Linked DNA regions of Astyanax mexicanus. The protein of the gene in region 2 purifies or fractionates together with the protein of the main gene of each other region. This does not show direct contact. Links are inferred from orthologs where the notes say so. Each region holds a gene or a part of one and is shown on either strand. Other genes may lie near its edges.

Region 1 (11,493 bases), on a different chromosome or scaffold from region 2:
TTCAACAGCCTTTTCAGTTTGTGATCCATGGGATTAACATAACCTGTAACAAAGCATAATGAACTGTTCCTTGACTATTGTGAGTAAAGGACATAGTGTGGTGATGCTGTTCTGGCAGTGCACTGGGGTGTCTGATGGAATGGAACTATTTTACCTTGTGGAATATTCATAAACTATTTACCGTTCTTTTTCTTTTAAAATCTACCAGTAAACTGTGATAACGGAACTGATATTATTGCAGTAATAATCTCAATTCATGCTATAACGAAAGATATTGACACTGGCATATTGATCTTCAACACTTGTCTGCCAGCACCAGTATCTCACATTACATGTACTATTGTTTAATTGTATTTACAAAGAAATTTGATCTGAAATGTCAATAAGGTTCAGTGGGTAGAAGTGGAATTATGTACACGCCATTGCTAATAGATTAAGATTTTATTTCCTATTTAAATGTACCAGACTTCGATGATGATGGGACCCTTGATTCTGGAGATCTTGAGAAATTGGTGAACTGCCTGACTGGAGAGACAGAGGACACACGACTCACTTCTGAGGAAATGAAGCAACTTATAAACAATGTGAGAAAACTGCACACACCAAAAAAAATCGAAATAAAGTAAACTTCAAAAATATGAATTGAAATGAACTAATTTTGTGTTTCTGCAGATTCTTGAGGAGTCAGACATCGACAAAGATGGAACAGTAAACCTTTCTGAGTTTCAGCACGTCATTTCCAGATCTCCTGACTTTGTCAGGTAGGAGATGCTATAATTGAACACTATTAAACGTAATATTAATTCTTGTTTGTAGTAATAATGACATTTGTTGACTAATCATCTCATATTTTGCAGTTCATTCAAGATTGTGCTGTGAAGCGTCAGAAGCACTGAAAACATTTTGTGGTCCGATGCATTCACGACAGGACAACAGTACTTTCCTCTTTTCTTAACAGTCCTAATGTAGGTGTTAATTGACATATACTCTTATCAGTATTTCTATGCTTTTCTAATTTATAAAGAAATCTGTACATATTTTCTGCACAACCTTTCTTTACTCTAAACCTGTATTTTTGGAGATATTTTATATTTAATAAACGCATGTTGTTTCCCTACATTTATTATGGCTGTCTTGATGATCGTCCATCACAATTGAAAGGACTCCAGTAGAAAATAGATCCCTTTGTTTGGGGGTCATGAGAAGCGATGCTCTTTTGGAACAGCAGACACAAATGTATTCCACAGCCCACAGACAACATCTTCTACAAACATCCCATTTTTTGAGAAGTACTCCACGGCTTTGGGTTGATCTGAACTGCATTTTGAGCCATGACCCAACTGGCCATAGTGACCTGTTACAGAGAAAAAATGCAAAGTGTTAGAATATAAATCAATGAACCATAACTTTAACATCCCCTCTTTGTTTCTACAGTCATTGTCTATTTAATCAGATCAGCTGACCATATATGATGCTGGTGGCTGGATATTTTTTTTTTATAAATTTATTTCAGATTTTTCCCCATTTTCTCCCAATTTGAATATCCAATTGTCCCACCCCTTTGTGCGTCCCCATCACCGGTGACGCCCGTGACCCTTGGAGGATGTGGACGAGCACACGCCTCCTCCGACACGTGTGAAGTCAATCACCCCTTTTTTCGAGCTGCTGCTGATGAATCATTGCCTGAGCAGCTAGCGCGCTCGGAGGAAAGCACAGCGGCCAGGTTCCAATTCATCCGCTCACAGACGCCTTGTGTCACCCAGCGCCACCTTATGTGTGATGTGGAGAGAGAGCGCCATCTACCCACCCCAGAGGGAGCAGAGCCAATTTTGCTCCCTCTAAGCACCGGCAGCTTGAAGCGCCAATTTTGCTCCCTCTAAGCACCGGCAGCTTGATGGCAAAGCTGCATGAGCGGGGGTTCGAACCTGCGACCTCCCGCTCATAGTGGCAGTGCATTAGGCCGCTGGACCACTCGGAGCCCCCCGTGGCTGGATATTTTTGAATGGTAGAATATTCTCAGTTTAACAGTAATACTGCATTGTTTAAAAACTCCAGCAGTACTGCTGTGTCTGATCAGATTCTACCAGCACAATACACACTAATATACCACCATAATGCCAGTGTCACTGCGGTGCTGAGAATGACCCATCACCAAAATAATACCTGCTCTCAGGGTAAAAGAAGGATAATAATGTATGCAGAAAGACAAAGGACTACTGTCTGTGATTACAGAAATAAAGAGTGCTTCTACAGTATATGGTCAGTTGACCTAATAAAAATGGCAATGAGTGTTGAAACACAAAGGTGGTGTCAATTTTCAGCTGATCAAGGTAGCTAACAATTGTGTATACATTTATCAGTGAACAAAAGGGAAGTGAAGTTTTTACCCCATCCCCAGGTGTACAGATTTCCAGTGCCTAAAAAGAAGTTAAACAATTAAATTATCAGTCACATCCTTCTTTCTCCATACTACTGTTTTTCATTAACCTATTACTACTAATAAAATAACAAGCACTGACGAATCTTACTTGTGGTAGCGGCTGTATGGCGGGATCCACAGCTCACCTTCCTGATTTCACACATTTCCGGAACATCCACAAGGGCAGGGAAGGCTTGAATTGAAATGAATATATCATCTTCTCCTTTATTCATAGTTCGTTTATCTTTACCTAATGGTAAACAAGTGTCAAAAATAGAAGGACATGAACACATGGAGAGATAGTATTTCAAGCATTTATTCAAAATTCTAAGATGGACTCACCAGTGCTTTGTCCTTTTTGACTCTCATCGTTAAGACCTTTTGATGGCAGGCCTATCTGTCCACTCTCGTTCCAGCCCCATATATAGAGGTCTCCACCAGCTGCACACATTAACATATCATATATCAAATGCTCAAGTCAAAACCATTCATTCGTTTTATTTGCTGATGTTGCATAGATGTTACGTAATCCATTATAAGCTTATATAACATCTGAAATGACATAGCTTTTTCTGACCCGTAAAATTCAAGATACTGGACTGAAATGCCATTCAAAAATAAACCTTTTTTTCAAATACCCATTTATTCTAAAGTAATTTAGCTTATAATCATAGGTTATGTTCAGCCGGCCAGCCTAAATCTGATTTTTGGTATATCTAGTTTGGTAGTCCTGACAACAATAAAAAGTTGAGTACAATGTTTCATTCATTTTGTCCATTTATAAAATACTGTCAAAATGTAGAGAGCAATTACATCCAACAAACCTACCAGGCCACTCTCTATTTAAAATGAATATATTAGGCATTGCAGGGGTGGCAATGCCAGGACCCTAACATTATTCATTAAAATATTTTGACTCCTCTGAACTTATGAATATTACTGTCTTCAGAAATCTTAAGGACGGCTGCTTAAATGCTGAATTTGATAATTTGTTATAATCTTACCGCTGATGCATGCCGAGTGCCAGCCCCCTGCACTCACATGGTTCATAGGGACACCCCACAGAGCTTCTACTGCTCGAGGCTCATCCTCTGAAACCACACTGCCTTGACCAAGCTGACCATGACTGCCAAACCAAACACAACAACATGGTTATAAAAAACATAAAGAAGGCACAATGTATGGGGTATCTTATCCTGTAATCAGGGCCACCATTTATCCATCTATGTTAATCTTAATGTGGATTAGCAACAATACCACACATCACAGCACAGTAATCCTTATACATCAGACAGACTGTTTATTAATCTATAATTTGTCAGAAATTCCAAAACACACAAATATCAGTGATAGGACATCATTCATTTGAGGATTGTTTTTGGCTATTACCTGCCAGATCCCCAGGTGTAGACAGTTCCAGATGTTGTCAGAAGAACAGCATGTTCAGTGCCCAGCGCCAAGCTAACGGCACACAGCTCGGTAGAGAGGGGTCTGAAGAACGGAGGTTTGGATTCTATGTATCCTCCTGGCACCAGTGGTAATGTTACAGTATCACCTTTATGAGAAAAGAGACAAAAATAGTCATTTGCAACTGGTTGATGGTCTTATCTAGAACAACATTTGAATCATATTGGATATGTAGGTGAATATAGCTATTTGAGTCTTGCCAAAAGACTCTTATTGGTGCAGTGTTGTTTAAGAAATAAACACCCCAAATTTACCCTTTTATATATTTGTAAACTGGCAGGGCAAATAAATGAAAGAAAAACTAAATAATGCATACTGTAAAAAAATGTAGCAATGGAAATAAACTGAGCCCTGGAAATGTATTTTTAAAAATAATAAAAATAAGTATTTTCTTTGGTAAAATTACAGATGAAGCCATGGAGTGGTGAGAACTGTTTCCTACACCTTTAAAAGACTCATGAGATGAGATAGTATATAAAAATAATGACTTACTATATCAAAATAATGAATTATTATCATAAAATAATGACTTAATATCTCAAAATAATGAATTAGTATCCTAAAATAATGAGATAGCGGTTTACTTAATAATAAGGAATAAAATGTGCTGGATTTTTTTTTTTTTATTTTAGGTGGGGAGAATGAGCTTCAATAATAACTCAACTTCATGATACATTGGGCACTTTGTCCACCACTGATTAAACCTAGAATAAATGTGGTGCTGAGACTAATGAAATGTATCTAGGGGTTATAGCAGTGATTCAGTGTACAGTGTAGCTCCATCACCAGTATTATCAGGGCTATCCCACACCCTGCTCCAGGCCAGAGCTTTTCCAGCAGGCGTCAGTTGGCTCCAGCACTCCACTCTGTCAGCAAATCTGAGGATTAGATACCTCTCAGTGATCAGAGCGTCCTCACACCCTTCACTCTCCACAACCAGCCCTCTGAACTCCTCATCCTGCTGCTCTGAATCACCTCTCAGCCCTGATACACACACGTGTTTACCACCTGCAGTTTATAACACACACAATTAGTGATTTACTATAATAGAACTTGAGGTAATAAGCGGGAAATCACTTAATAAAACTAAACAAAGTTAAACAAAGCATAACTAAAGTAAAATAAATCTCACCATGTATGTGGATGGCAGCTTTTCGGCTCCAAGCTGCAGTAATCCTGATGTTTTGGTCCTCTGGTTCTGTTTTCTTGGTTTTGGGGCTGAAGCTTGTTTTTTCTCCACAGGAGCACAAACTCAGCACTGCAGCTGGACTCAACACTTTAGAGCTGTCTCCACTATATTCACTTTTTACTCTGGGAAATATTTGCCCAAAGCCATTAAAACCAAAACCAAACCACTTCATTGACTTATTATCTTATAAAACACAACATATGTTTATTTTAAAGGCCTTACTTGCTGATGTATAGCAGAAATAACACTGAAATTGACAAGTTAAATTTAGTAAACTGTCGGCGTCAAAGAAACAAGCAGCAAACAGTATTACAGAATAAAAGTCATTCTTAATGATATTTATGTATGATATATATATGATAATTATAATACAATCTCTGAATCGTCTGCATATGTGTATGTATATTTATTATTTTAATAATATAAACATTTAGACTAAATTAAGGAAAATGTTTATTTTCTTAAAAATGTAAAATCAGAGCCGGTTTAGAGAGAGTCTGACCACTTATATCAGTAAACGGCTGCACACCGCTAGAGGGAGCCCGCGAGGGAGTGCCCAATTAATAGGGCTGAATTGAGCTAATGGCTAAAAACTCAAATTACAAATAGTAGGTAACTACCTGTTCAGAAGATTCCTTTAATTTAAAGTAAATTTAGCATTTCTCTAAACAAGCAAAGACAACCTACTTGTATGTTTTAATTGTTCTACAGTAAAGGGGTTTACGCAGTACAGGCGCTAGCATTACTGCTACCATGTGCTGCTTGACTGGTGAGTGAGCTAATGTTGGAGTTACAGCCAGAGCACTGAGTTTAAAAGGCGTGTCTGGAGTGTAAAAGCTTTAAAATGTATGTCTGTGTTCCTGAACAATTTTAAATTGTTCTGCGTTAAGGAAATAAGTACATGCTTTATATATAAAAAAATAATCAAATATCACTTCTTAGGAACCTATTCATTTTCGACTCACTCGGGAGCGCTCTCTGGTGGCCTAACAAACATATTATTAAAACATTATTAAATGGGTATTCTCCTCTGTAGTTCTTTGGTAATACTAGAGAATCAATAATAGAAAGGAGGATGCCCAATTAATAATAAAGTCTCCCGTGTTCGTTAGTCCACCAGAGGGCGCTCCCGAGTGAGTCCAAAATTAAAGTTCAAATGGAGCAACTGAGCAAAATCAGTGTTTATAAATGTAAGATCATTTTATACTGAGAATTCTACTGATTTTCTCAACACAGAACAGTTTTAAATGGTTTAGCACCACATACATATTTTAAAGCTTTTAAACTGTAACTCAGCTCAGCATCAGATCAGAAATCACTCAGCTCACAGTGGCAGTAATGCTAGCGCCTTTACGGCATACAATTCGTTCAATGAAGAAAAAACGGAATACATAGGTAGGGTTTCTTTGCTTTCAGAGCAAAATGCATCATTCTATGTTCTAGAAATTAATGTTCTTGACAAGTTGATAGTTACTATTTTTAAATTGAGCCTTTAACCGTTTAGCTCCATTCGCCCGCATTCATTTCGGATTCACTGGCGGGCGCCCTCTAGCGGTCTTGGTCATTTTCCGATTATAATGGTGGATTTAAAAAGTGGGCAGTCTCTCCATAAACCAGCTGTGGTAAATCTTTCTACACTACTACTGGCTTCACACTTCCGTCTCCACATAGCAACGGAAAGCACATCAGAGAAACAGCAACGGAGGAAACAGAGCGGAGGAGCTATGGTGAAATATCTGTTATACATATTTCAGTCTTCTTTATAACAGAGAGCGAGAGAGAGAGAGTTCTGTTAGGATACAGTCTGAATTGTTGTTTTTAATACTTCGGATATAATAACTGATAGCTGATATCACCCTTAGCATAGCCTTCTCTTCTCTATGTAGCTTAGCTTGGTAGCTAGCTAGTTAACCAGCGATTTCATAGACATTTATAAATGTATGTATAAATTATATGTCTATGAGCTAGCTAACATTACGCTAGTTAACTATGTTACCTTAGTGTGTATGTAATTATTTTAGCTGAGCTAGCTACATTGTTGTCCACATATGATGTTAATCTCGTTTTCCTTGAGTAACAAAAGAAATATTAGTTCAGGAGTAGCTTATACATAGCTAAAATTGGGTTGTATTTAAGGTGATGAGCAAGGTCCTTTATAAAAATAAAAAAACAGGAGTTCTAGCTTAATATACCAGTAATTTCCTAGCAAACAGACAATTAAAAAATAGTAAAAAAAATAAATAAGTAAGTAAGGAAGGAAGTAAGGAAGTGTGTTGTGCTGGTTGTCTCTAAATGACATTGTTTCTTATGTCTTCCAAACCTTTCCTATCATGTCGTACTCCAGGCTGAAGTAGAAGACACACTGAAGAGAATCCAGACCCACAAAGGGGTCATAGGGACAATAGTAGTAAATGCTGAAGGTAAACACGTGTGTATTTTTCATCATGCATATGGCTGGGAACATCACTGATGGACAGCCTGCAGTGGAGCTGGGTATCATAGCTGTCCAATGAAAAACATGTGCAGGTGCATCTCAAAGACTTAAAATATAATTGAAATAAATGTTGTCAGCCTAGGAAAGCACAAAGTGCTGTATAATTTTCTGGAAAAACGTTGCACTAATTTTGGACTTAATATAACACAGTGACCAAAACCAGCAGATGAAATGTCTCTCCAAACCATCACTGATTATGGAAACTTCACACTAAGACCTCAAGCAGCTTGGACTGTGTGTCTCTCCACTCTTCCTCCAGACTCTAATGCTTTGATTTCCAAATGAAATGTAAAATTTACTGATGATCAGTGATGGTTTGGAGAGACATGTCATCTGCTGGTGTTGATCCACTGTGTTCTTACAAGTCCAAAGTCAGTTCAGTGATACATTTTGAATTGAATTACTAAAATAAAGTAACTTTTTATTGATATTCTCATTATTTGATAAGGACCTGTATCTCCTTTACAGAAGCTAGTTAAGACGTTCAAAAAGTTAAGAGTTTAATTCATGTAATTTTTTTAAAATTTGTATTGGTCCATTCCTCAGGATATGTTTGAAACAGTATAAAGCCTTATCTGGATGGGATTAGTTTCTCAGGAGGACCAGTGAGTTTCATTTGTCTTTCTCGGTCACATGACATTGCGTTCAGTAGCCCCTTCATGTCCACTCGCTGTTGTGTTTACCTGCCTCTCCGTGGAAACACATCTAAAGTGTAATTACGGTGTGTGGCAGTGGACAAATAGCTATTTTATTAAACACAAAGTGACGTGAGGTGTGAGTGTAGATGGGACTAAAATTACCGGAGGACCACAGAGTTCAGTGAAAAACAGTAGGTAATTCAGCCTGTAATTTTCTCAGAGGACGTCTGAGAAAAACACATACATGGTTATTCTGGACGAGAATAAAATCACAAGGAACAACACGTAAAAGAGAAAATTACCCCTACTGAGAAACCTACTGAGAAACTAATCCTGTCTGGATATTGCTTAAGTAACAGATTGTGCATTCAGATTATGTAGTAAACTAAAACTAGACTAAAATGGAAGTACTTGTATTTCATTGGACAGCAGCAGTATATTCTAAAAGTAAAGGGTATCTCCTGTCACCTATTATATTTCAAACTATCCACACAGTTTTGTTAAAGTATTCAGCTTTTTAAAAGCTATATGTTGTATGTTGTGCACACACATCTTGCATAATCTTAAGCCTAAAGCAATCGATATGGAGCTCTGTCTAATACAGTTGTGATCAAGTGATCGGTTGTTTAATGACTGGCCATCTGAATAAACAGTTGGAATCAGCTGTGCTGCTAATTGTTTAAAATAAAAACTTGCAGCCACATTTGCCCTTTGCAGATAAGATTGTATACACTTTGAGGGTGATCCAGAACTAATCATCCATTTTAATTGCAATCAAATACTCAGAGCAATGTTTCCACTTACCACTGCATTAATTTACAAATGTAGTTTTTACAAAATTTTATTTGCAAGATATTACATGCCTATGTAATATATTAGGGGTGCCTAATATGAAAAAAATCTGATGTGCAACAATAGTTTGCTGTGAGATTCACCATGTCCTGTACCTCACTCTGTCTTCAGCCTACTAGCCTACATAAGCACAGTCTGTAACCTGTATAGCTCCCTCTGTTGCTGCACATGAGTAATACATTGTAATTGTCTTATTTAAGGGTTGTTGCAGATCTTTCCATTTGTTTGTCTTGAAAACTTTATTAAAAACTTAAAAATGTTGATAAAGAAAAAATATGATTTATCATACAGCCCTAATGGCAAAAACAAGCTGAATGGTATTGCTGATTAAATCCTTTTGCATTAAAAACTATCATCATGTGGCTTTAAAAGTGATATTTTCTTCGGATCTTCAAGGTATTCCCATTAGAACAACCCTGGACAATTCCACCACAGTACAGTACGCTGGACTGCTTCATCAGCTTACTATGAAAGCCAGGAGCACAGTCAGGGACATAGACCCTCAGAATGACTTGACATTCCTACGCATCAGATCCAAGAAGCATGAGATCATGGTTGCACCTGGTATGTGAATCAGTTTGCATGTCGTATGTGATAAACATTGTTTTTATTTTGATTTTGACACAGAGAAGAATGAAATGAACTCTAATAGCAGTTTTCTTTATCTATTTTTATTCACAGATAAAGAATACCTACTGATCGTCATTCAGAACCCGAGTGAATAGTATTCTGGGACTGTACCAGCTTTGCACATTCCATACATACCTTACATTTGTCATCTGTCTTTTGAGTTGCCTTTTTTCCATGTCTTTTGCCTCTTGAATTGAACTGTCACGTTCCTGTCAGTCACACACTTGTATTTGCCTTATGTTTTCCTATAGAAAATGCATTTTAATTTAATAAATCTCATGAGAATTAACACTTGTTGTATCTGTCGTTGAAGATAACTGAATTATAAGATCTTCGAGGGCTTATAGTGTTTATTGCAGCATGCTTTCTTGACTTTGTTAAATGGAGTGATCAGGGTTGGTGTAGACCACTTAACCCCCCACTAGAGGGAGCTATTGCTCCATAAATGCGAATAATCAAGGCCCAGGATGTAAACATAACTTTCCCATACAGGAATTCCACACGGTCAGAATTCCTGTAGAAGGATGGATTATAAAATGAAATGGTTAGTATATATAATTTGGTAATTGGCTTGTATGTTGATATTAGCAGGTCTGTGGCAGTGGAGTGTCTTCATTAGAATCAAAATCTTTATACACCAAATAACCAGGTGTACAAGTAATTTCCCTTGGTGCAGATGCCAAACCCAAACTTTAATTAAAATAAATTCAATTAAATTATAGAGAAATATACACTTTCTATGAACAGAAAATAAAAACATCAAATATAAAATATACAGTAAAAAAACAAAATGTAAATAAAGGTATATGCAATAGGAGTAAATTAATGAATTCATTAAATCAACTACTGAAGATGCAGTTCCAGTCAAAAGTTTGGACACATCTTAAATTATTATTTTTTTTTAATTAGTATGAAATTTTCTGTATTGTAGGGTAATTCTAATTCACTCGAACTATGAATAAAAATATGAAATTATTTAGTAAACAAAAATGTGTAAAACAAATCTGAATATGTTATATATTTTAGATTCTTCAAAATAGCACCTCAAGCTTAAATTACAGCTTTGCACATCTCTGCATTTCAGCTTTATAATGTAGAGTCACGTGAAATGGCTTTCAGTTAAGAGCTGTGCTGAACAAGAGTTGATTGCTTAAATTTCTTGGCCTCTTAATGTGTTTGAGAGCATCAGTTGTACAGTTGTGAAGAAGTAGAGTTTGTATACAGTTAATAGCCCTATTTACGTGTTCCATATTATGTCTACTACTTAATTAAGTAAAGAAAAAAATACTCTAAGAAATGAAGGTCAGTCAATAACAAAAAAAAATCCAAGAACTTAGAAAACATCCTCAAGTTCTATAAAAAGACTATAAAATGTTATGATCAAACTGGATCTCATCAGACCAGAAAATGGATGACCTAGAGTAATTTCTGTTGCAAAGGATTAATTACCAGCTAAGTTACCAGCCTCAGAAACTGCAAGTTAACAACAACCCAGATAAAATCCCAATTAAATGTTTCACAGAGTATTAATGTTACCAGTCAAATCAGTTGACTGTTCAGTTCAGTGTTTTTTTGCCTGTATGAATGAGCTTAGTTTTGTCATCGTCAGTCAGCACCAGTTGGTGAAAGAGCTGATGTGCATAAACCTATATCGATGTGTGCATGTGTGCTGCATTAGTGACAGATATGTTCACATTACAGACGGATACAGTTCACTTACATTTGGTTCATGAACGTGAACCATCAAGATGGCCAAATCTGATCTGAACGAATAATCTAAATTGTTTAATGAGGCTTGTAATGT
Region 2 (12,260 bases):
ATGACCGGCTTCTGGGGCTCCAGATATTCAGACCGGAAGGTTTCCAGAGCCGGACACTTCACCCTCGGTACAGAGACGGCAGCGTCGATCCTGGGCTCTGGTGTGCCGTCCTTCTTGAGTTTCTGTTCACATAGGAGATGGCATTTTGTGAAGTTACCATTTGTAAAAATTCCTTATTATGGTATTAAATCCTGAATCCTATGTTCTTACTTTAAATGAAGAATAAACATTGTCACATTGGTAACCATTTCTGTTATATTTTTCATTTATTATTAATAAAAAAATAAATACAAAATGTAATGTTCAATCTTCTTTTATTCATACATTCATTTCTGACTTTTAGGTTTTTGCCGTGGTATCATTTCAGTATCGATACGGAGATATATAGATACAGCTCTGGGGAAAAAAAAAAAAAAAAAAAAAAGGAGACCACTTAAAAATGATGAATTTCTTTGATTTTACCAAATTATAAACCTCTGGAATATAATCAAGAGGAAGATGATCACAAACATTGAACCAAACTGAACTGCTTGAATTTTTGCACCAGGAGTAAAGCAGCATAAAGTTATCCAAAAGCAGTGTGTAAGACTGGTGGAGGAGAACATGATGCCAAGATGCATAAAAAAACAGGGTTATTCCACCAAATATTGATTTCTGAACTGAAATTTTATGAATATGAACTTGTTTGTTTTCTTTGCATTATTTGGGTTCTAAAAGCTCTGCATCTTTTTTTATTATTTCAGTCATTTCTCATTTTCTGCAAATAAATGATCTAAATGACAATATTGTTATTTAGAATTTGTAAGAAATGTTTGTAGTTTATAGAACAAAAATACAATGTTGATTTTACTCAAACATAAACCTATAAATAGCAAAATCAGAGAAACTTATTCAGAAACTAAAGTGGTCTCTTTATTCTTTCTAGAGCTGTATACAGGTGCTGGTCAACGAATTAGAATAATTTGAAATAGTGCAATCGTGAAATTCTTTGAATGCATTTTTTGTGCAGAAAGCAAATCAGGTGTTCACCGCACCTGTCCTACTCGTTAGACTAATCACAGAACTCGTTACCTGGAAAAAAAATTGCTCAGCTGAGCTTTCCAAAAGGCCCATTTAGGCCATTTAACTGTGACACTGTTGTTTTATTGAATTAGAATAATGGAGAAACCGTTTCATTGAATTAGAATAAATGCTCGAATTTTTGTTTTCTGTGAAGAGTGTTCACTGCGCAGTATAAAGTCAGGGTTGAGTAGAATTTCTAAGTTGTAAAATCAATCATGGGTAAGCAGCGCGACCTCTCAACCGGAATAGTGGCTCAAATTCAAGCCCTTCGCCAACAAGGCTTGACCCAAACTAAAATTGCTGAGCAGCTCGGCATCAGCCAGTCTTCCGTCTGCAAAGCTCTCAAGAAAAACTGCAGCAAGCGCACCAACTGTTCCGGCGTCCGAAAAACTTCTGCTCGCGACAACAAGCAGCTGAGAAAGATCGCAGTCAGCAACCGGTTCAAGTCCACTTCCGAGCTCACCGACTTGTGGAACAAGCAGACCGGCGCTGACGTCTCCAGATCAACCACTTACCGTCGTCTGCGCGAACTCGGCTTCAAATCTCGCGTTCCAGCAGTAAAACCGATGCTGAACAAGAAACAAATGGAGAAACGGCTGAAGTGGGCCAAAGAACACGGCGAGTGGACTGCTGAAGACTGGCAGAAAGTGGTCTTCAGTGACGAATCACGCTTCTGCATCTCCTTCGGTGACCAAGGTCCTCGTGTCTGGCGTCGTGGTGGCGAAACCTACAACCACGAGTGCGTGAAAAGATCCGTCAAGTTTCCCCAGAGCGTTATGGTCTGGGGATGCATGTCCGCTCGAGGTGTATGGAAACTCTGCTTCCTCAAGAAGACTGTCAATGCTGCCGTATATCAAGATGTTCTGGAAACGTTCCTGATTCCGACTGTTGAGGAACAGTTCGGTGAAGAAGACTTCATATTTCAACAGGATCTTGCACCGGCTCATGCGGCAAAGTCGACCAAAGATTGGTTCACTAAAAAACAGCTTGAAGTTTTGGCATGGGCGGCCAACTCGCCTGACCTCAATGTCATTGAAAACCTTTGGGCCATCGTCAAGCGGAAAATTCGAGACAGAAAGCCTACTACGCTGGACCAACTGAAGCAGAACATCGCCACTGCCTGGGAAGCTGTGAGTGCGGAAACTTGCGACAAGCTGGTCAAATCGATGCCGCGGAGACTTCAGGCAGTCATACAAGCCAAGGGGGCAGCCACAAAATACTGAGAAAGTGATGATTGTAATTATAATAAAAATTATTCTAATTCAATGAAACGGTTTCTCCATTATTCTAATTCAATAAAACAACAGTGTCACAGTTAAATGGCCTAAATGGGCCTTTTGGAAAGCTCAGCTGAGCAAATTTTTTTCCAGGTAACGAGTTCTGTGATTAGTCTAACGAGTAGGACAGGTGTGGTGAACACCTGATTTGCTTTCTGCACAAAAAATGCATTCAAAGAATTTCACGATTGCACTATTTCAAATTATTCTAATTCGTTGACCAGCACCTGTATATCATATCGAAGGTCGTAAGTTTGGTACAATTCGTTACAGTTTGTGGCTATTAAAAGGTGAATTTAAGAAGTTTAAGAAAAAAATATATATATAAAAAAGGAAAACAATTGGTCGTTCATTATTAAGTCAAGTTTCTTATTTTCTCTTGTGTATTTATACTTGCTCTTTAACCCTTTCAGACCTGAATTATCTCCAGTAATGGGAAACAATGCAGTTAAGAAAGCTGCTTTCTGTCTGTAATGCACAGAAAAGAATACTCTAATATTCTACTATAAAATCTATATAGCAAATAAATCCAATGAACTAAAATATTCAGTAGTTTTTTTTTCACCGCATTGGGGACCTGTGTGTAATATTTTATATTTCATATTTACCTTTTTATTTCACAAACCATTCCTAAACAGTAAAAATCATGATTAAAAAGTGTAGCTGTTTCTTCCCCTCAATGGCTCTAGTGCTTTTTCCAGTTTTTTTGTTCATTTGCTGATTCAGGGTCTATTCTGATAGACAACTTAGTGTCACGTGCAACAACACATCAAAAAATTAAGAAAGTACATGGTGTCCATTGTAATGGATGCAGGTTTTAAAAGGGTTAAAGAAGCAAAAATATGTTCTCTGATTACTCAATTACTAAAATAAATTTTCAACAGAATACCTGATTATATTCAATAGCTGCAGCATTAATTTATGTGATTATAAATATTTTATTTTCTGGCTTTAACACTAATATGAAAATGGAAAGTTCATAACCACAAAAAGGAAGGTGGTGGTGTGGCCAAAGGACTTGGGCGTGGGCTTTTAAAAAACAATACAGTAAAATAAACAATAAATTCAATAGATTCAAATCAAAAATAGTGGTGTCAATCGGACAAAAAAAAAATAATCACAACAATATTCTGTGATTAACTATGTGTGAATGTAAGAAATGTAAAATGCAATTATATCTATATTATGTTGAAAATTTGCTTCTGTGCTTTTAAAAATACAGTTTTTAATGCGATGTGCAGCACAGAGTCATGCAGCTGCGAGCAGTGAATGCTGCACACATTGCGCTCTTAGTGTGCAAACAGCATGGAGCAGCAGAGACAGTGTTTATTAATAGCAGTATATTATCTGGCTAATACTTAATATTTAACTGCACCTTATCAGCAGTTTAATTATAAAGAAGCATATTTGATAGCTGGGTCAGATCGAAAACAGATCACGTTCTCACCACATGCGAACTGCTCCAAAAAAAAAAAAAAAAACGCATTACGATTTAAAATGCATCACATGGTAATGCCTTAACATTCACAGCCCTAATAAAGACATATCATATGTTAGTAAAGTATGAAGATAATTAATCATCAGATATTTAATCAGTAATACCATTATAAAGCTTTTACAATAATTACCAGCTTTTTTAAACCACCTTGACCATCAAATATACCAGATTATACCAAATATACCATACACCTAACAGACGGTTAAATCAGCATTTTTTAAACATTCACCTTCAGACAGGGCCGGTCACTGTCCTCCTCCTCTCTGCTGGAAAGCTGCATCTTCAATTTCTTCTTCAGCACACCCACCAACCTCTGCAGGACATTGTCCAGGATGGCGGCTCCCATCAGTAAACCCATATCACACGTCTTTATGGCTTCCTGGACCTGGGCTTGAGATGGTTCTCCATGACACATCCCCACAGCTTTAAACAGACAGCCGTGAGAGTACACCCTCCTCCACTCCTTATCCACGTCTCTCCAGGTCCCTGTGTTCAGCTTCTCCCAGGAGTAGTCCATGATGATCTGAGCGTTCTCCACACAGGCTGGAGGATCTGAGGAGCTGTACAGCTGCTCTCTGCTCAGTCCCAACAGGACCAGAACGCTTGGGTCAACCACATCACTGAACTGGAGGGGAAACTCAGGCTTGGTGGCGGGAAGCACGGCTTTCACATCTTTCCAAATGTGAGCCATTACCTGCCGGAGAGGCGTAAGAAAAGGTGTTAATTAGGGCTGCAACAATTAGTCAGCACAATCAAATAATTTTAAAAAAATTTGCTGATTTTATAGTTAAGTGTCGACTAATTATACACAACAGATTACATATTTACTCACTAAATATCACACATATTTCACATTTAAACAACATCTGGGCATTAAAAACCCACATTCAGCTGTTCTTACAGGAAACAGAGATGAAAATGGATTTTAAAATGTCAATTTGAAGTCAGAAAGCAGCAAGTACTATTTCCTACACCTTTAAAAGTCTCTTGGAAACTGGAGAAAACTGATACAGAAAGACGTCTGGCTGACCCACATGGCAACAGCGCCTTTGGCTCAGATTAACATTGGACTAAGTCTGTTTGATCAATCAATCGATCGATCAATCGATTAATAAATCAATCAATTAATAAATCAATGAATGAATAAATAAATAAATTTAATGAATGAATCGATCAATAAACGAATCAATCAATCGATACATAAATGTCTCAATGAATTAATTAATTGATGAATTAATGAAACAATTATTGAATTAATCAATCATTTAACGAATGAATGAACTAATCCATAAATCAATCAATAAATCAATTTAAGGAAAAATCAATCAATCAACCTATGTCCACATGTATATCTATCTATCCATCCATCCATCCATCCATCCATCCATCTATAAAACCTGTTGTTTATTATTTAAGTGTAAAGTTTTAAAGTAATTAGATTCAGTAAAACAGCAGTTAGCATTAATATTAGCATTAGTTAGTTAGTTAGCTGTTAGCTGATGTAATACAGTAGTAGAGCTGTAAGTTACTCACTGCTGGATCAGCTCCGTGTTTAAAGCGCGGCTGTATGGACCGGCAGAGAGCTGAACTTCATTATAAACCGTGTTTTAAACTTTAATTATTCATTATATTCACTCTAAACATTTATAAATATCCACAGCCTCCCTCCACACAGTACCTGCGCATCATCAAAACGCGCCCGGGCTGAAACTCCGTCTGAACCACCAGTGTTCCGCCTGCACAGCATACAGACTCCCTACTATTAATAAACTTTTCACACACAAAAAAAAAATAAAAATTAACAGCCACAAACTGTACATCATCTATAGCTAGCTTTATAGACTTGTTTCTTTGGCTGTTTAGCTAAGTAAAATGTAGATAAAAAAACGATGTAATATTATAGCGTATAGCCATATTAATAATAAGTATTTATATTATAGTAAACATCTCATCACTTACTGAATAAAAAACGATCCCTGAATGTTGAAGATCACTTCAGGAAAGAAAAAGCTATTTAAATTGAGTAACATTTTATTTTGTTTAGGAATAATAAATTAGTGTTGGTCACACTTTTGATATGGACTGTTATAAGGGGTAAATAATAATGAGAAGGTGACGATATTTGTATAGTCAATGTTTATTTTATTTTTATTTTATTGTATTATGCAATTTTTGCAATTTGCACACAATCTATTTAAAAATTCATAACTGCATATTACTGCACTGAAATGATTGATGCTCATACAATTAACCTACTGCAGGATATCAGTAATACACATAAATATTAATACAAAAACTGGATCCACTAAATATAAAAAAATAAATATTCAAAATATACTTTACTGTACTACGAAACTACAAAGCACTATAATATATAATAATATAATAATACTAAATATGCAGAACTATTATATTCTAAAAATACAGAAAATACTAAATATGCAAAATATTCTACTATATAGAAATATACTATATACAAATATACACAGAGCCTAATATACATAAAAACACTAAAAATACAAAAGTAAATACACAGATACATACATTACATAAATAACTATATATTCTATACAGAACTATACTAAATATAAAACAATATTCTAAATATACTGAACTATACTAAATATAAAAATATTTAAAATATACAGAATTAAATTAAACATTAAAACTATTCTAAATATACAGAATGATACTACATTTTATAAAAATATATTTTTATATACAGAATTATACCAAACACTAAAAGTATTTTAAATAAACAGAATTATACTAAATATAATACATATTTTAAATACACAAAATTATGCTAAATATAAAAAATATATAAAGATACAAAATTATACTAAACATTAAAAATCTTTAAAATATACAGATTTATATGAAGTATAAAAATATGATAAATATTCAAAACAAACTATAAAAAGTATGCTAACTGTGAAAAATGAAATACATAGAACTATACTAAATATTAAAAATATTCTAGAGTTGGAGATGACAGTTAATCCAGTTAATCCAAAAAAAGCAGGATAAACATTTTTATAAGCCCTTTGGAAGATTATGGAAGAAGCAATGACTGTGCAGGTTTCCCAATACTTTTGTCCATATAGTGTATTTCTCTATGGTGTTCTCAGCCTTGTAGGCACAGATTCACCAGGAGAGCATAAATATTAAATAATAAATGTTGCTAATAAAACATTGACTTGAATAAAATGTAGGATGTCTAGGAGACCATGAAAAGCTCCTCAGTGGTGATGGAGGTCCCTCACCGAGCCCACCTGACAGGCCAGTACATCTCATTCTCCACAATTTACCCTTACCTCACTCATTCTATAGAGCAAATCACCAGCCTGTCCCTGAGAGTGTTTAATAATGAGGAGTGAACTGCTGCTGCTCTGCAGAGTCAGCTCTTCACAGCACAGCACTGTGGAATTATCTAGAACTGAGGTCTCCAAACTTTTACCAAAGTGGGCCAGATGGAACCATATTAAAATACTTGGGCAGGTCTCTCTTTCCAAAAACGTTATTCCTAAATGAATAAATAATTCATTAACAGCTTCAGCTCCTCTGGGAAGGCTTTCCACAAAGTTTAGGAGTGTGTTTATGGCAGAGACATTAAGATGCTTAATATGTTGGAGGTTAAGGCCTGGCTCACAGTCTCCACTCTAATTTATCCCAAAGGTGTTCTATCTATTGGGTTGAGGTCAGAACATCCATGTCCATCCATGTCTTTATAGACACAACCACATACCATAATCCCCCCTCTACCAAACTTTACATTAGGCACAATAAAGTCAGACAGGGACCTGTTCATCTGATTGCCAGATGGAGAAGCGTGATTCGTCACTCCAGAGAACATGTGTTCAATGCTCTAGAGCAGTGGTTCTCAAACTATGGTACAGGTACCACTAGTGGTACTTGAAGCATCCCAAGGTAGTACACTAGATGACTTTAGAAAAACATATGCATGCATTTAAATACTAAGAACTAAAATCTATAATGTTTACACCTGTAATTTTCCTATTTCCCATTTCCATTACATTAGTTAGTGTTTAGTGCTTTACCCATTAGAACCAGTAAGTTATACTTTAGGTCTTCACTTTTAAAACTTTTATGCAGTTGTTCTTTATTCACATCAGTTTTATTGGTCCCACAGTAAAACCCTGTGGAATGTCACAAGATATGAAAATCATACATCAACCATCAACAGTTCACTACAATACACAAAATTATACTAACATAAAAATATTATAAATAAATGATAAAAAATATTAAAAACATTCTAGGGTCCGTGGAAATGATGAGTTTTGGAGTTGGAGATGAATTGGGGTGTACAGGAGTTGGACAATGAAACTGAAACACCTGGTTTTAGACCACAATAATTTATTGTCCCGACGGACAGTCCTGGTGGAAACATGGGAGTTGAGGTGCACATTGACATCGCACATTCTGCCTTGATTTGATCAGCCGTGGTTTTAGACAGCTTCCTTTTGCGTCCACAGTTAATCCTGTTGGAGGTTGTTGGTCCTTCTTGGTGGTACGCTGACATTACCCTGGATACCGTGACTCTTGATAAATCACAAAGACTTGCTGTCTTGGTCACAGATGCTCCAGCAAGACGATTTGCACCAACAATTTGTCCTCTTTTGAACTCTGGTATGTCACCCATAATGTTATAGTGTGCATGGCAATATTCTGAGCAAAACTGTGCTCTTACCCTGATAATTGAACATTCACACTCTTACTGCTCTTACTGGTGCAATGTGCAATTAATGAAGATTGGACACCAGGCTGCTCCAATTAAGCCATGAATGAAACCTCCACACTAAAATGATGACAGGTGTTTCAGTTTCATTGTCCAACCCCTGTACATGTGTGTGCAGCATGTGGTTTTGCATTGTCTTGTTGTAAAATGCATGGATGCTACATGCTGCATGCTGATGTTACAAAGTCATGGTGAAGTGAATGCTGGAGTTTTTTTTTGTATTCTGTTTGTTCTGCACAAGCTCTGACAGGTCTTGTGCTCGGATTCTGCACATAAGAACAGGGTGATGGCAACATCAACAACAATGTCACAGCTAAGGACACTGTGTTAGCATGTTAGCGTGTCGGTGAGTTAGCGGGAATGTCACCTGGTGTGGGAATTCAGGCAGAGATATTAAGATCCTCACACTCCGGCAAACACCAGAGACAGTTCAATTCTGCTCAACACCAGCGTCTGTTTCTGACAAATGAAGCAGTTCGAGTGCGCGAGGCAAATATAGCGGATCTGTAGGTTGGTGTGGAAAGCACTTCCCCGCTGCTATTGACTTTTCCTGTGTGTGAGACAGAAAGCCTTCGCTTCAGGGCGAGTGTTGCACAGCATGACTTCTCTTCCAGCGCTGTCACGTTTGACATAACGGATGAAAGCTCCACTCGTGGGACACGGTGGCGGTGGCGCCACATGAAACGCTGCAGATTTTTCTTCCCTGGCTCTCTGTATTATTCTTTTTATTGCGGTTATTCGACATATTTCTAGGAAAAATAGAACAAGGATTATTCCAGGATATTCAAAGCCAGCTTTTTCTTTACTAAATGCTTTGTGTGTATCAGTGTATGAGTGTATAAGTGTGTGTGTTTGTGTGAAAGTATGTTAATGTATGAGTGTGAGAAGAGAGCTTCCTATGTTATCTTATAAATTATGCAGTATGCCCCATGGGACGAGTTTATTGTTTTTCTTTATTTCTCTCCTTTTTTTCTACAATATTTTTCATGCTTGGTGTCAGAAAGAACACAGCAGCCAATAATGCATCATAAAATATAAATGTAAAATATCATACAAAAAAACAAAAAAAAAAAACAATAGTGCCATATTTTTATTCTCTATTCCTTATTCTGGAGGAAAACAGCATTTTCTTTATTAAATTGTAATGCTGACTTATACAGCTCTAAAAACCACTCTAAAGACCACTTCATCAGTTTCTGAATCAGTTTCTCTGATTTTGCTATTTATAGGTTTATGTTCGAGTAAAATGAACATTGTTGTTTTATTCTATAAACTACAGACAACATTTCTCCCAAATTCCAAATAAAAATATTGTCATGAGATGAGAAATGAGTGACATTACAAAAAAGATGAAGAGCTTTCAGACCTCAAATAATGCAAAGAAAACAATTTCATAATTATAAGGTTTTAAGAGTTCAGAAATCAATATTTGGTGGAATAACCCTGGTTTTTAATCACAGTTTTCATGCATTTGGCATCATGTTCTCCCCCACCAGTCTTACACACTGCTTTTGGATAGCCTTATGCCTTTACTGCTGGTGCAAAAATTCAAGCAGTTCAGTTTGGTTTGATGGGTTGTGATCATCCATCTTCCTCTTGATTATATTCCAGAGGTTTTCAATTTGGTAAAATCAAAGAAACTCATCATTTTTAAGTGGTCTCTTATTTTTGTCCAGAACTGTATATACAGCACTAGTCTAAAGTTTGGACACACCTTAAATTCTGTGGTTGCTCAATATTTTAACATTTCCTGTATTGTATATTAATGATGAAGTCATCCATACTATGAAGAAATACATATGGGAAAATTGTGTTAAACAAAACAGAATATGTTTCATACTGTCTTTTAGATTCTTCAAAGTATCACCTCTTGCTTAGATTAGACAGTTTCAAACATCTCTGCTGGATTTTCTCAGTCAGCTTTATGAGGTAGAGTCACCTGGAATTCAGGCTTTCAGTTAACAGCTGTGCTGAACTCGTCAAGAGTTAATTACTTGTATTTATTGTCTCTTAATAAAGTGTTTGAGAGCATCAGTTAAAGTAAAGTAGTGAAGAGGTAGAGTTACAGGTATACAGTGAATAGTGAATATTTGAGTAATGTTCTAATCCAGATTATGAGAAGCAAGAACTACTCAACTAAGTAAAGAAAAAATACTTTAAAAAATGAGGGTCAGTCAATCCGAAACATTTTAGGAACTTTTAAAGTATCGTCAAGTTCAGTCGCAAAAAAGGATATCAAAATTGTTATGATTATGAAACTGGCTCTCATCAGGACCAGCCAAGGGAAGGAAGGGCAAGAGTTTCCTCTGTTGTACAGGATGAATTCATCAGAGTTACCAGCCTCAGAAACTGCAAGTTAACAAACAGCTCCCCAGATAAGAGCAGCTAAATGCTTCACAGAGTATTTTGGTTTATTTAACACTTTTTTTAAGTTACTACATGATTCCTTATGTGTTCCTTCATAGTCTGGATCACTTCAGTATTCATTTAAAATCTAGGGGAAAAAATAAAAAATAATAAAAACACTGAACGTGAAGGTGTGTCTAAATTTAAGTGGTTTATTTTAGATTATTTTTTAATGTATTTAATTTTTACTGTGGCTATTTGACATAGTACTAGAACAAATAACAATTCTATTAAAAGCTCTCAAAAACCTGCTTTTCCTTTCACGAAATGCTTTGTTTGTATGGTCGTGTGCGAGCGTGTGAGGAGAGCTTCATGCCTGTGCTTATAAATAATGCAGTGTGCCCCACGGGGCAAATTTATTATTTTCCCTTTTTTATCAACATATTTTTTATGTTTGAAGTCAGAAAGAACACAGAGACCAATAATACATCATAAAAACAATAGTTCCCTCTTTTTATTCTGATAATAAGAGGTATACCGCATCGTTCAGAGAATTCTAATGCTGATACAGAGACATATATTTATATATTTTGCCGTATAGTCTTGGAATATTGGATATAAAGGTGAGTGGCAGCCTGAGGATGCTGCTGGATTAATAATAAAACAGGCTGTGGTGGTATCGGCTGAATGCTGAACACACTGACTGCTTTATTTGGCACATAATTTGTGGTTATCTCTAAGAAGAAAAAAAAAAAAGAAAAGATTTAAACCCGTTCTGCTTTGTGTAGGTGGTATTATATACAGTGACTTGCAAAAGTATTAATACCCCTTGAATCTTTTTTCCACATTTTATCACCCTTACAACCGCAAAATTGAGATTTTAAGTTATAGACAAACACAAAAGTATTGCGTAAGTCTGAAATGGAACGAAAATGATACATGGTTTTCAGAATTTGTATCAAATAAAAATCCGAAAAGTATTCAGCCCCCCTATATCAATACTTAGAGCCACCATTTGCTGCAATTACAACTGTAAGTGCTCACCTGTCTTTGTCTTCATGATGCTGTTTGTTCACTAGTGCTCTCTGACAATCCACTGATGTCTTCACAGAACAGCTGTATTTATACTGATTAACTAATAACTAACTAATAACTTCTGAAGGCAGTTGATTGGACTTTATATAGGGGTTTTAGAGCAAAGGGGGCTGAATACTTTTGCCCGTCACACTTTTGAAAACCATGCATCATTTTCATTCCACTTCACACTTATGCAATACATTGTGTTGGTCTATCAATTAAAATCTCAATAAAACAC

The links.
Region 1: the proteins of kdm8 (region 2) and RCC1 domain-containing protein 1 purify together in Homo sapiens (co-immunoprecipitation; 3 studies listed by BioGRID and IntAct, counting the BioPlex papers as one, with this or other methods). This does not show direct contact. The link is inferred for Astyanax mexicanus from reciprocal best matches to the Homo sapiens genes KDM8 and RCCD1.

Annotation. Positions count from the first base shown.
Region 1 is NC_064409.1:59,370,510-59,382,002, forward strand, and holds RCC1 domain-containing protein 1, read right to left. Parts: upstream 5,374-11,493; 5' UTR 5,248-5,373; coding exon 5,019-5,247; intron 4,895-5,018; coding exon 4,673-4,894; intron 3,975-4,672; coding exon 3,809-3,974; intron 3,546-3,808; coding exon 3,424-3,545; intron 2,861-3,423; coding exon 2,762-2,860; intron 2,670-2,761; coding exon 2,529-2,669; intron 2,418-2,528; coding exon 2,388-2,417; intron 1,355-2,387; coding exon 1,197-1,354; 3' UTR 1,071-1,196; downstream 1-1,070. Other genes in the region: cib1 (calcium and integrin-binding protein 1), read left to right, coding at 466-584, 673-761, 858-879; dynein light chain roadblock-type 2, read left to right, coding at 6,653-6,802, 7,420-7,495, 9,456-9,623, 9,741-9,784. UniProt on the Homo sapiens protein: Plays a role in transcriptional repression of satellite repeats, possibly by regulating H3K36 methylation levels in centromeric regions together with KDM8.
Region 2 is NC_064410.1:58,258,430-58,270,689, forward strand, and holds the start of kdm8 (lysine-specific demethylase 8), read right to left. Parts: upstream 5,604-12,260; 5' UTR 5,585-5,603; coding exon 5,516-5,584; exon of another isoform or gene 5,371-5,515; intron 4,532-5,370; coding exon 4,067-4,531; intron 123-4,066; coding exon 1-122. UniProt on the Homo sapiens protein: Bifunctional enzyme that acts both as an endopeptidase and 2-oxoglutarate-dependent monooxygenase.